Arabidopsis thaliana: one gene and its partners. The protein of the gene in region 2 interacts with the protein of the main gene of each other region in a pairwise test. Each region holds a gene or a part of one and is shown on either strand. Other genes may lie near its edges.

Evidence for each region.
Region 1: the proteins of AT5G01380 (region 2) and AT3G44785 interact in a two-hybrid assay, tested with the Arabidopsis thaliana proteins (one large-scale study listed by BioGRID).
Region 3: the proteins of AT5G01380 (region 2) and AGL79 interact in a two-hybrid assay, tested with the Arabidopsis thaliana proteins (one large-scale study listed by BioGRID).

The regions. Positions count from the first base shown.
Region 1 is NC_003074.8:16,327,669-16,330,315, forward strand, and holds AT3G44785 (Zinc finger C-x8-C-x5-C-x3-H type family protein), read right to left. Parts: upstream 781-2,647; coding exon 553-780; downstream 1-552. Other genes in the region: AT3G44790 (TRAF-like family protein), read left to right, coding at 1,124-1,221, 1,327-1,475, 1,589-1,863, 2,145-2,597.
Region 2 is NC_003076.8:155,092-159,260, reverse strand, and holds AT5G01380 (Homeodomain-like superfamily protein), read left to right. Parts: upstream 1-1,659; 5' UTR 1,660-1,809; coding exon 1,810-2,145; intron 2,146-2,841; coding exon 2,842-3,477; 3' UTR 3,478-3,651; downstream 3,652-4,169. UniProt on the Arabidopsis thaliana protein: Probable transcription factor that binds specifically to the core DNA sequence 5'-GTTAC-3'.
Region 3 is NC_003074.8:11,907,130-11,913,718, reverse strand, and holds AGL79 (AGAMOUS-like 79), read right to left. Parts: upstream 4,850-6,589; 5' UTR 4,601-4,849; coding exon 4,416-4,600; intron 2,707-4,415; coding exon 2,628-2,706; intron 2,521-2,627; coding exon 2,456-2,520; intron 2,356-2,455; coding exon 2,256-2,355; intron 2,079-2,255; coding exon 2,037-2,078; intron 1,471-2,036; coding exon 1,429-1,470; intron 1,230-1,428; coding exon 1,099-1,229; intron 945-1,098; coding exon 839-944; 3' UTR 553-838; downstream 1-552.

The sequences.
Region 1 (2,647 bases), on a different chromosome or scaffold from region 2:
TCTTCGTGACTATAATGCCTGTAAGGGCTCCTATACTTCCGCAATGGCTATGCCTGTTTTTGTATCTTCCATATAACTGCCTCCTCAATCCACTGTCAAGAGAGTCAGGTGGTTTTAGTACAACATAGGAAATCTATATGAACCACACATGACAAAAGAAGAAACATGTGACATGCTAATGCTTTTTACTGTTGAATTTTGGGATGATTTATGTACGAAGCTACTTGTCAACAGTACGAGGAAGATACTTGCAAACAAGTAGCTTCGTACATAAATCATTCCCAAAATTCAATCTCCTGAGGAAGAAAAAGTTACAAACCTCGAAATCTTTTTGCATACATCAACACCAGGAGTGATAATATCGGGACGTTGATTGATGATTTTGCTGCAGATCATGTACAAAGAAAGGCTTTATTTACTTGAACGATTATGCAATGAATGTTTTGAAGGATGTTCTGTTGTCCTCTGTTTTTTTTAGTTGTCGATGTTCTCTTTTCATCAGATTAATTAGGAATCGTTTTTATCACAACTAAGAAATGTAATTTTCTTAAGTTAAAATTTTTTTTTAGGGTCCTTCTCTCGTGATTGTACTGGGTCCAGAAATTGTTTGAGCCGGCCCTGCTGATACGTATTCGAAAGGAGAAGCGTTGGGCTGATACTTGGTTTGGTGTAGAGACGAGAGCATCGATCTCCGTTACGACAAACGCCGATTTTGAAGTAGAAAGGACAATTCACGCGATCTTTCTCCGTTCCGTATATTGACGCTAAGTGCTCGACCATCTTCCGATTGCTTTTTGAAGAACACGAAACTCTTTTCTTCTTCTTGGACTAGGGTAGGTCTCTCTCTGATACTTGCTATGCCTATGGATGTTTCAAGAGATTTAAGTTTATTTACCTTTTTACCCCTTCTGTTTTAACTATTTTCAATCCAACCACAAACTTATGTTAAATTTGGCCAAAATGCGATTGGGCTGAAGCCCATAATCTATATAAGTGAAGAAGACGAGCGCTGCAAGAACGGTTCGACACAACAGTGTCAGTGCTAGTGAACAGTCAGGTTATAGGGTTTCGTTGCTTTGGTCGTCCTTAACTTTAGGCTTTGATAGTTTGGTTGTGAAGTTCAATGGGGTATGAGAAGTTCACTTGGGTGATTAAGAATTTCTCATCTTTGCAATCTAAGTACATTAATTCTGATAAATTCGTTATCGGTGGCTGCAAATGGTAAGAAGAAGACAAGTTTGTTATATCTCTAATTTTGTTTTTTTGGTCCAACTTAGGGTTTATGAGAACATCTTTCCATTTTTTCTATGGTTTTTTTGCTTGCAGGTTTCTTAAGGGATATCAGAATGCTAATTATTTGTCTCTGTTTCTGATGGTTGCTACTTCAAAAACATTGCCTTGTGGATGGAGAAGATACACACGATTTCGCCTAACTGTTGTAAATCAACTTTCCGATGAACTTTCCCAACAACGAGGTGATTTCTATAAGGCTTTTGGACAAAGCAAAGTTCCTATTTTTGTGATTTATATTTCTGTCTGCTTGTGTTTGTTTTGAGTTAGATCAGTTCTATCTTTTCTTTGTCTATAGAAACGGAAACATGGTTTGACCAAAACGTTGTTCTCTCTGGGAATCGACACATGATTTCCCTTACCAAACTTAATGCGAAGAAAGGTGGATTTCTTGTGAACAATGAAGTCAAGATTGTTGTGGAGGTTGATGTTCTTCAAGTTATTGGCAAATTAGATGTTTCAGAGGGATCTCAAGAAGTAACTCAACCTCTGAAAAGGATAAGGCTAAACGATGATGGTGTTTCCGTAAAACAAAGCATTGATGTCAATGGGTTTCAGGTTCTTCCTTCACAGGTAACAAGTTCATAAAGATTCAAACTTTTTAGATGCTTTTCATTAGATAGGAGGAACTGATTTCAGATGCTTTTCAAACTTATAAGTCTTACCAGTTCCTTCTTTGTTGTTGCTGACTTTGGATTAGAGGTGGTCTCTTTTTCTGTTTAGAAATTATCAGTAGAACACTAAGACAATGTAGGGAATAAATGGCATCTTTATAATCTAACCATTCAGTTTGTGGATACGTATACAAACTATACATGAGTTTATACTTTATCCATCTTTTTTTACAATTGTAGGTGGAATCGGTGAAACGTATCTTTGAAAGACACCCAAACATGGCACTAGAGTTCCGAGCAAAGAACCAACATGTGAGGACATCATGTATGAATGTCCTCCTCAGCCTAATCGATACACTGTGCCAGTCACTGCAAGACATTTCCATTGATGACCTGGGCCAGGCAGAGAAAGCACTAAGATACCTGAAAGATTCGGACTTTAAGGTGGATTGGTTAGAGCGTAAATTGGAGGAAGTGAAGGAAAAGAAGATGGAAGAGCAGATTGGTAAGTCTCGGATGCAAGAACTAGAGGAAGAGCTGAAGATCTTCAAGCAGAAGTGCTCTGACATAGAAGCTCAACTGGAGAAAGAGAAGCAAAAGTGCTCAGACATAGAAGCTTTGCTGGAGAAAGAGAAGGCAAAGTCGTTGGCCGCTGCCAGAGCTCCTCCTCTAACGTTGGATGATGTTGTTTGATGACTTAGGCTCCGCTAGGTGTCAAAATTAACGTAGGCAGCTAGAGAGAC
Region 2 (4,169 bases):
TTTCTTTTGTTCACAGAAAATTCCTTCATTCACAATTTCTCTTTTAAATAATTAAAGACCACAAATTTTGAACATAAGAATTAGAAAAATTAAAGATCATTCACTAGAGTAGTCGACATTATTATTAATTTAGTATAAATAAATAAGGTGTGAATCCACGTGGGATGACAGGTGGGAGCGAAGTCTAGTGCATGTCATGTAAGATTTTGATTTACTTTCAACACGCTTCATCGCTATTTGGACCACTTCGCTGACTTTTTTTTGTTTTTTTTTTTACTACTGAGTAGTACTAGTATTTCTTACACATATCAGAGCCAAAAATACAACCCCGACGAATCTTTCTTTAGATACAAATAAAAAATATTTACTCCTACAAGTTTCATTCACCGTACGTTTTACTTGTTATATCATTGCAATGACGCGGCTTCTAAATATGTACTACCATATGTGTGTTTGGGAATCTGACAGTTGTATATTGCACTGGATCCAAACCATTTCAGAACAAGAGTACATTTTCTCTGTTCGTACGCATTATTTGTTTTGTGCCGACTGCGAATATAACGATTTCCATTTATTCATATACTAAATATCATACAATCCATAAATGAATAGTCTTCTTTTTTTCTTGGGGGAATTTACAATTCCAATCAAATTAATTTCTTAGCTAATCATAACGGTAGTCTTGTTTTCTGTAACTTAATTCTTCTTCTTTTTTATTTTGATAGGAACGTTAGGTATCTATTATGTAAAACTTGCTAACAACAATTCTCTAATTCTTTGTTTATATCTGATCTCTTCCTCCATGACACGGGGCTAATCTAAACTTCTAAAAGCATATTGATCCAATAGCTTATTTAATATATTTTGTCTGTCAACCATTAGGTTACTTTTGTTACGATGAATTTTTCAAAAGAAAAATACAAGAATTATGGGATGAGGAAAATCTAGTGGGTCAATTGACCATAAAGGCTAAATCGGATTGAAGAATAAAAATCGGATTGTGACTCGTAACTCGTAAGCGTGACGAAATATTAACGCAACATTTATATGTATTGGGACAAATTATTAACGAATAACTACCAAATGCAAAAAATACGAGACAGTTGAGTACTTGAGCTTGGTCACAAAATCATCATCAAGGAAAAACAATAACCATACAGTAAAAATATAGTTCTACAACTTTACAAATTTGAAAGCGTGTTTAGAATGATGCACACAAATAATCAATCTGTCAAAAAAAAACATATTGTTTGATTTTACTCTAAGATTAAGGCGATTGTTTTTACTTAAGATATTCTTAACTGATGCAAGTTACCCCTGTAATTGTTTGAGATTGCTATTTTTAAACTCTAGAATACGAAGAAAAAAAAAGTATGAATTATTTAGTTAGCTGCTTTAAATCTAGAGTTTATCATCCGAAAAAGGGATATCTAAGCTTTATTATTTTTAATGTAATCACGAATTGTGTCCTTTTCACCAAAAGAGTCATTCGTGTTCGTATTTTATTCAACTAAATAATTCTATAAGTTCTAGTATATTCAATAATTATTAAAAAATCTCATCTTAATAATTTTAATTAGAGAAAAGAACAAAAAACTACACTTCTATCGTCCCTCTACGATTTCACACCTTCTTTTCACACATCCTTATAAATTAATTAGATTCTTCTCTTTTCTCTCCTTCCTCTCTGTCTTCTCTTCTTTTTTTCAATGAAACCTCTCTTCATTTATAAGTAACCCAACAAAAAAATAAAATTATCTCCCTCTTATTTCTTCTCTTCACGTCACAAAGACAATTCGATTCCAAATAATGGACCGACGTAACCCTTTCCAACATCACCACCACCACCATCAGCTTCATCATCACTTGATCCAACAGCAACAGCTTCCTCCGCCGCCGCTGAGCACCACGGCGACGATGGATCCCGGCGGAGGAGGAGGAGGTGGGGAGAGAATCCCACAGTGGAGCATAGAGGAGACAAAGGAGCTTTTGGCTATAAGAGAAGAACTTGATCAAACTTTCATGGAGACCAAACGTAATAAGCTTCTTTGGGAAGTCGTGGCTGCTAAGATGGCCGACAAGGGTTTTGTCCGAAGCGCAGAACAATGTAAGAGCAAGTGGAAGAACCTCGTCACTAGATACAAGGTTACCCTTCAACTCTTTAGAATCCTATTGATGATTCTCTCTATATATAGTCCCGATATATACACCTATAAATGTTTAGTATGATCATGATTACAAGTATATACAAACTATAATTATGTGTATCATGTATTTCATCACTAGTTTGTGTGGTTAGACTGATATTATGCATATTGAAATGGAAACCTAGTTTATGGTGTATGTATAGGTGAACTACATTATATATACATCAATTAATGAGCTTAACCTAATCGCCTAGGTTTTTTAGATATTGTCCTGTCATTAATGGTAACGAGCTATAGAATAGAATTTTACGCGTTTATTGGTGAGCTTTCATCATGATATTGTCTATGTTCACATTTTGATCCGTTATACCATAATATCTCTCTTTTTGTTCGTTGATCACATGGTAAGTAAGTAACACAATATGCCATAAAAATATAATTACCGTTATATAACGGGTGCATAAGATTTAATAAGAACCGTTACTGATGAACACATGAAGATAGTTGAAAAAGTCTATACACACATTTATTTAAGGTAAAAGAAACGTGATATAGATGATGAACATGTGTTTTTGTTTTCCTATGATATATGATTTCGAGTTAAGATACTTGGTTAGCTAAAATATTTTGCGTCGGTACTATTACGTGTTTACATATAATTGTTTATATAACATAATGAATATTCATGGGACAGGCGTGTGAGACCACTGAGCCAGATGCTATTAGGCAGCAGTTCCCATTCTACAATGAGATTCAGTCGATTTTTGAAGCAAGAATGCAAAGAATGCTGTGGTCAGAAGCCACAGAACCAAGCACTTCCTCGAAGAGAAAACATCATCAATTTTCATCTGATGATGAAGAAGAAGAAGTTGACGAACCAAATCAAGATATCAACGAGGAATTATTGTCTTTAGTAGAGACACAGAAAAGAGAGACAGAAGTGATTACTACTAGTACTTCGACCAATCCAAGAAAACGTGCAAAAAAAGGAAAAGGCGTTGCGAGTGGTACGAAAGCTGAAACTGCGGGTAATACACTAAAAGATATATTGGAGGAGTTTATGAGGCAAACGGTGAAGATGGAAAAGGAATGGAGAGATGCATGGGAGATGAAGGAGATAGAGAGGGAGAAGAGAGAGAAAGAGTGGCGGAGGAGAATGGCGGAGCTAGAGGAGGAAAGAGCCGCCACAGAAAGGAGGTGGATGGAGAGAGAGGAAGAGAGACGGTTGAGAGAAGAAGCTAGGGCTCAGAAGAGAGATTCTCTCATCGATGCTTTGCTTAATAGGCTTAATAGAGATCATAATGATGATCATCATAATCAAGGTTTCTAAGTTCTCATTATTTGTGTTAAGCATAAGTTAATTAGCTAGTTAATTTGTTAGGCAAATCAATTTAGATAATATATCTAAATTAATGTTTGTTTTATAATATTTATATGAACTATTGAAATTTCCAAAAAGAAAGATAAATGTTCAAATTTTGATATATGTTATCGTGGTATGAAAATGAATTTATCCTTCTAAAAACAAAAAAAATCCTGGTGGAGAAAAATAAACCTTCAATATTAGAGGAAGAAAAATAAATAGAGAGGGAGTAAAACGAGCAGGCAATTACTAAATATAATATAAGGTAACATGTGAATTAACTAAACGATAAGAATAAGAATTAATAAATCATTTAATAGTTTACGTACATGCATAAAACAATTGTATAGATATTAATTAGATATGCTAGTTTGAATTATATTGTTCATAGTTATAGGTGTCCAAAACCAAATTGGTTGAATACTTTTAGCTACTTTATTCTGTTAATAAGAATATTTCATAACGATTAATCAGGCGATAAACAAGAATTAAACAAAAGTCTTTATTCCAAAACTTTCAATTCACATTTGTCCCACATTACTTCACCGCGTTATTTGTGTGATATATAAAACTTATTTTGTTCATAAGTAAATTGTAAAGAAAGAATTTGTTATTTTTATTCTTTTCTTCTCTTGCAAGACAGCTACCAACAGATAAAA
Region 3 (6,589 bases), on a different chromosome or scaffold from region 2:
TTTGCTACATGGCCAAAAGAAAAGTTTTTATATATAAAAGAAAAATAAATTAGACAAATGGAAAAACACAAAATGAAATATATCGAAGTTTGATTTATTCAAGACAAACTATAATATATCGATAAATAAAAGATAACAATGGACAAATGGCAACATAAAGGTCTAAATTAAACCAAGACATCGTCTTATGTATATGAAATACTTTAATCTATAGTTTTTAAGTCACACTTTTTCATATGACAAATGTTTCTATCTCCCGGAAAAAATGAAATTCAATGCAGAGAATCAATATTTCTTTCTCCGGCGATGCTAAGGCGTGGAGGAATCGCGTGGCGAGGCAGAGTCGTAAATTGGTTCACACGGCTTAGTGTGAGGACGACTCTTGAATGGCATATTTAATAGTCAAGACTATTTGAAAAAAATATCGTAATTACTTTTAGAAAATTACCAAACATTGTCAAGTATTTTGTTTTAGCAAAATCTGTTTACAAAACGCTTCTAAAATAGATTAAACGTTTTCTCCTACCTTCTATAGAAATTAATATGTCATAAAAAATATAGTTTATAGTTCTTTTCTTCTTTTTCATTACACTGAAATTACATTTTTCACAAACAGTAAAGTGAAAATCGTAGATACAATATACAAAATCACATTAGACATACAATGTTTCTAAATTCGTTCAAAGTTTGAAACTTGAGGGCCTCTTAAGCCTGTTCCTAGAATGCCAAGCCAGAAGATATTTTCTTTTATTCGGATTGGTTCTACTTAACTCAAGAAGTTATTCCGGTACTATATATTAAGTACAGAAAATTAAAAAACCAAGATTGTTTCGGACCTCTATTCTCCGGTGAGCTGGGGCATCCAATGAGGCAACGTTGCATTCGTCCTTCGAATTAGGGTTCCGGCAGCTACTTCTCCAACTCCATCCCTTTGTGATGTATCCCTATAAGCAGTTTATTAATTCATCTCATATACACGATAAATAAATATTGATACAAACTATAATATGTTACCTTACTATCATTGATCAACACTAACAAATTATCATTTATATTTTTACTATCTTTGTAGCTATGTGAAATCAAACTTTAAAGTACCCCGAAGATAAAGGAGGAGGAGGAGGAGATATTGTCCGGCGAAGCTCATGGGGTGATTCAAATGGCGGTGTTGCCAAGGAGGCTAAGTCATGGCTGAGGTTTTGCGTTTGAAAGTCTTCCCTTTCACCAGCCTGCCAAATTCAATACTTGTTATAGTTACTATTTACCAGTCACCGATTGCTTAACATTCAAATATAAATTTAAAATCGACACTTGATTGAGAGAGTTCAAACTAGCGCCTAGACTAATCTCTCTTAAAAGTTAAGTGAATTCTACATTTTATAAGAAACTGGTTATATATATAGTCAAAGATTCTAACATCACTTTCACCTTCTTTGTTAGCTGTTTCTTCAGTTCTTTTAGTTCCTTCTCCTATGCCATCAAAAGAAAAGACACATATTTATTAGTTTAACTCATATCGAGTCAAGTATTCAAGATCTAGTATATGTATTTGTGTTTATTTCTCAAAATCAAAGACTACTAATTGTGAAGATCTACTATAAGTATAATGTTTTGTACAAACCCGAAAAGAAAAAAAAGACAGGCAGATACATGAGTTTGCATGGCAAAAGTAGTCCTAGGCAAAATAACCAAACTCTAACCAAACCGAGAGGAACTTAATAGAAAAACGAACCAAAATTCGTAAATATCCGAATGGATTATAACTTCATAACTGAAAGAACGGGAACCAGACTGAAATATTCAGCGAATCGAAATACATTTTATACACCTAAAATAATTAGTTATTTTTAGACCGAATAACCAAAAATACTCGAAATACCAAAAGTTAGGTGGAAACAATATCCAAAACAATTACTTGAATGGATCCTAAACTCAAAAACCAAAAAATAGAACCAAACTAAAACCGGACCCGTAAACTCAAACGTCCAGGCCTAGGCACAACCATAACAACGATAGTCTCTTAATTAGTGTATTACCTTTTTCTGAAGCTGTGCTATGGACTCTACCATGAGCTGGTTCTGTGCTCCCAAACCAAAACAATAATTACTACATGATTAGGTGTAGTTTATCTATATATCTGTGTATATTTATGCATACACAAACTGCACATTATTAGATATACACATTTGTATATACAAATGATCCATGCATGTATAGAAAATATACTACAATGTTTTTGTATACATATAAATAACCTTTCTAGAGCGAGTTTTCTTGAGGGCAGTATCAAGTTGCATCTCCACACCTTGAAGGTCTCTGATACTTAGACCATCCACCTCTTCTCCTCTTAAGTGCCTTATAATTTGATAAAGATGCAATTTCTTATCTTGTACATATTTAGATATCTTAGGTATGTATTTTATGTTTGGATGATACGTAAGTAATAAGTCCTTACCTCAGGCTTCTTTGCAGGACATCAATCATCCTCAAGAGCTTTGAACATTCTGTTGAGCACTCTCCCTACAAATGATAAAAAGATCGATACACGATAGTTAAGTTTACCATAAACATACCATAAACAATGATTCATATATATATACTCATATGTCTTAAATGTGCTTAAGAACCTGTGAATCCAAATTTGGTGTAGGAATATCTTGACCGGCGTAGGCAGACCTCTCATATCGATCAAGAATTCTCTCCATGCTAAAAAAATAGTATATCAAACAACAATCAACACTCGATGTATATACTATCATCACTCAACAAATACATTGAAGATATTGAATAATCATTTTTGTACTTTAGTTGAAACATTTCTAAATTAATTTAAGCTCTATATCGAGAACTTTAATCTACATTTGCAAACAATTTGATACATTAATTGAATGTATTGATTAGACTATAGCAATCGATACACCAAGTCTACTCAAATTTTGTTAAAATATGTTTGCAAGCAAATTCATTTTTGAACATTCTAGTTAAGCCTACAAGCTAGAAAAGTAGCTTCATGGGTTTGTATATTTTCATGTGACGATCGAGGTTAGTCCTAGGTTCCGCCAACCAAAAGACAAAGCAATGCACAAAGCTCTATACAAAGGCTTGTCATGCTTCCAATTTCCAACAAGATTTTAGCTGTATATCTTAAATTTTTATTTTAACATAATCAAATCAAAGTTTCATGTTTACTATTATTAGTTACTACAATCATGATCGAAAGCTGACTCTTCTATTTATAGTAGATTTCTTGTCCCTCTTTAGTATGTTTGTGTATATTGAGATAATTGTTTTTCTTTTGGTGTGTCGTTCATTTTGATCCAATGATACCGCATTAGATATTACATGAACCTTGGAGATAATTTAGACGGTGTCATCACAAATTATGTCTCCTAGTATTTTACTGTTCTGTTTTGACAATTACTAAAAAAAAAAAAATCGTCATCTTAAAATTGGATTTATTTTTCAAAAATTAAATTGCTATTATTTACAGTTCATTTCTTTTATATTAAATTCTCTGATAAATAATGTTTTGTTATTACCAGAATATGTTCAGTTAGTTAAAACCACCAAAATTATTTTGTATTATAGTCAACATTTTATTTTTATTTTAGTCAACATTCAATTTTATTTTTAAGTAAAATGTAAATAGCAGATTTATTCCAAAAGAAGAACATTAAAATTATTTTGATTCAAGAACCCTTTTTAAAATTCGTTTTCCTTGAATTTATTATATTTTTCCTTGAAATAAATAAAATGAAGTCTCCTATGAGTGCCAAAGTAAGCTAACTTTGAGCATTAGATCTACTTGTTTGATCCTAAGCCTGCAGGTGTTAATTCTAAAGTTTTTTTGTACACTTTGTATTAAATATCTCTTTAAACTTATGTAGATCATGTTTTAATTATCTCCAGAACGTTGAAGAACAAACTTACACAACAATGAAATGAAAGATCTCTCTTTATTCATGATATGTTCAACATATATACATATGTCCTCAAGAATCAAATTATATTAATACGTATATTATTTCGTAATCATGTTTGCCCAATTAGCACATTCTTCCATCATATTTTTTGGATAATATATAATCTGTGGAACTGTTATGTCTCACAATTATTTTTTGATGCGATCATCTCTATTAATCACTTCTTTTGATTTAATATATAGTATTGTACAATCATTCATTTTTTATGATCTTCTCTAAGTTAGAGATGGAAGAACTAAACAAAATTGGCTATAAACTGATTTAATTAATTAAACAATCTCAGCCAATTTCAAATCAATCTCCTCTATGTGAAACCTATATATACCACTTTTCCCAATATGTCAAACATGAAATATAGGCTAATATTTATGTAGATAAATATGCGATCTTAAAATAAGTTGGTAAATTAATTAGCTTAGGAAAGATTCAAACCTGGAACCAGCAGAGTACTCAAAGAGTTTGCCTTTGGGGGAGAAAACAATCAAAGCAACTTCAGCATCACATAACACTGAGATCTCTTGAGCTTTCTTTACCAAACCGGTCCTTCGCTTTGAAAATGTCACTTGTCTCCTTATCTTATTCTCGATCCGCCGTAGCTGAACCCTTCCTCTTCCCATATCTACAAAAATTCTTCTCAGGTTTCTTGGAAACAAAAGAGAGAGCTAAAAGAAGAACTTGGAAATTTGACCACCTAAAGAAGAAAGAAGAAGTAGTAGAAGAAACCCTAGATTCTCTTAAAAAGAAGAAAAGTGGAGTTTGATGAGAAATTACGCGAAGATTTGATTTAATTTTCTATTTTTGTGAACTTATTCATATACATATATTTATACACACAAAAGGCATATGGAGGGAAAAAGAGAAAGTATCAAATGATACATTTAGGGAAAGGGAGAGCAGAAAACAAGTATTTATGTCTTTGTGTCCGAAATAGTCTTGACGATCAATTATTATTATTGGTGAATGAAGTTAATAATTAACCCAAGTTGCTGGTTTGGCTCCTGCGATTTCAATATAGAACCTGTAATTACCAAGATCAAAGTTCTATTAACAAATGCTGCTGTGATACGATTGGTTCTTTTGACCATATATGATATAAAATATAAGAATGGATAAGAAGATACATATAGTAAAATAATAATAAAGAGCTTGACCTATTACAATGTAAACCACCACAAAGAGCTTGACCTATTACAATGTTATTTTTGTACTTTCATAACAAATATGTACTTACTAAATAGATTGAAAATAAAAATATATTGTATATATATATATATATATATATATATATATATATATATATATATATATATATATATATATATATTCATCATCGATTACGAAAACTTCACCAGAGATTTTACCATGTTGCATCTTATGATCATGGTTTATGTGTACGGTTAAATTTTACATTGTGGATGTGGTTCAGGTGGAGCTGTCTTGTAGATCAATGGACTACCAACTTGGAGAGTTGTTTTAAATGAGATTTTAATACTTTTTAAAGTGTTTCTATAAAATAATTAGTGCTTGCTTTTTATTATTATTATATATATTACTATTAGTATTATATATTATTATTATATTTATATTCTGTTACAAGCGAACCATAGTTAACAATTTTCAACATACTGATCCACAATTGACAGTTTTACCTGAACTATATCTACAATGGCTGAGTTTAGTCATTGGTCTTAATACATATACGGAGATACATGAATGTGATATATCATTCTTGAAATGTCTAACAGAAGCACCGATGAAGTTGGTCCCTATTCTTAACGTATGGTTATTGCAATAAGTATATGTATGGTTATATGAGGGATTATGTACTAACAAAAATCGACAGAACTTTAAGTGCATTCTACGTTTCTCTTCCATCCTAAAATTTGAACCTCAAAATTGATACAATAATTTAAACCAGAATTTTGATCCACCACTATAGATTTTTATAATAAATATATTTTCTCTTTTTGAAAATTACACTTAATATTTTCTTAGCTCAATATATAATTTTTTAAAAAAAAATCATTATATAAAGAACAGTCAACTTGGTTGACTTTGGAAATAAACAATAAAAGACAATTTCCGTGGTCATTTTTCGTATATGTTTTTTGTGGTATGATTTTGGCAGAAAATAGAAATATAGATGAAGATGAGTTTAGGATTTTGAAAATGAGGACACCTTGTTTAGAATGTAGGTTAAATAGAATTGAAGAAGGGTTTAAACATTAAATATCACGGAATAGATTGGTTAATGGTAAACTGAGAAAAAAATAGGTATTTTAAAATTGAGGAAACCAAATATGTTATAGTAGAGATTTCATAATAATTATCTTTTTAACATTTTCACATCGACAAGGTCCAATGCATAGTCAATCTTTACTCTGCAGGATAACGCGACTTAGTAGAGTCTAACTCCAGTGGAGAAGGTGGAGTAAAATGGACTTAACAACGTAGTGAAATTTCTTAATAATTCTTGAACAGGACATTAAGTAGATATTGTTTTCTTATTTATTTTATATGCATTTCAAGTATATACAAATTTCATTAAAAATCTCTAGAAGAATGAGAGAAATAAGTCTAAAAAGTTTGTGTAGCTTGGATAACCA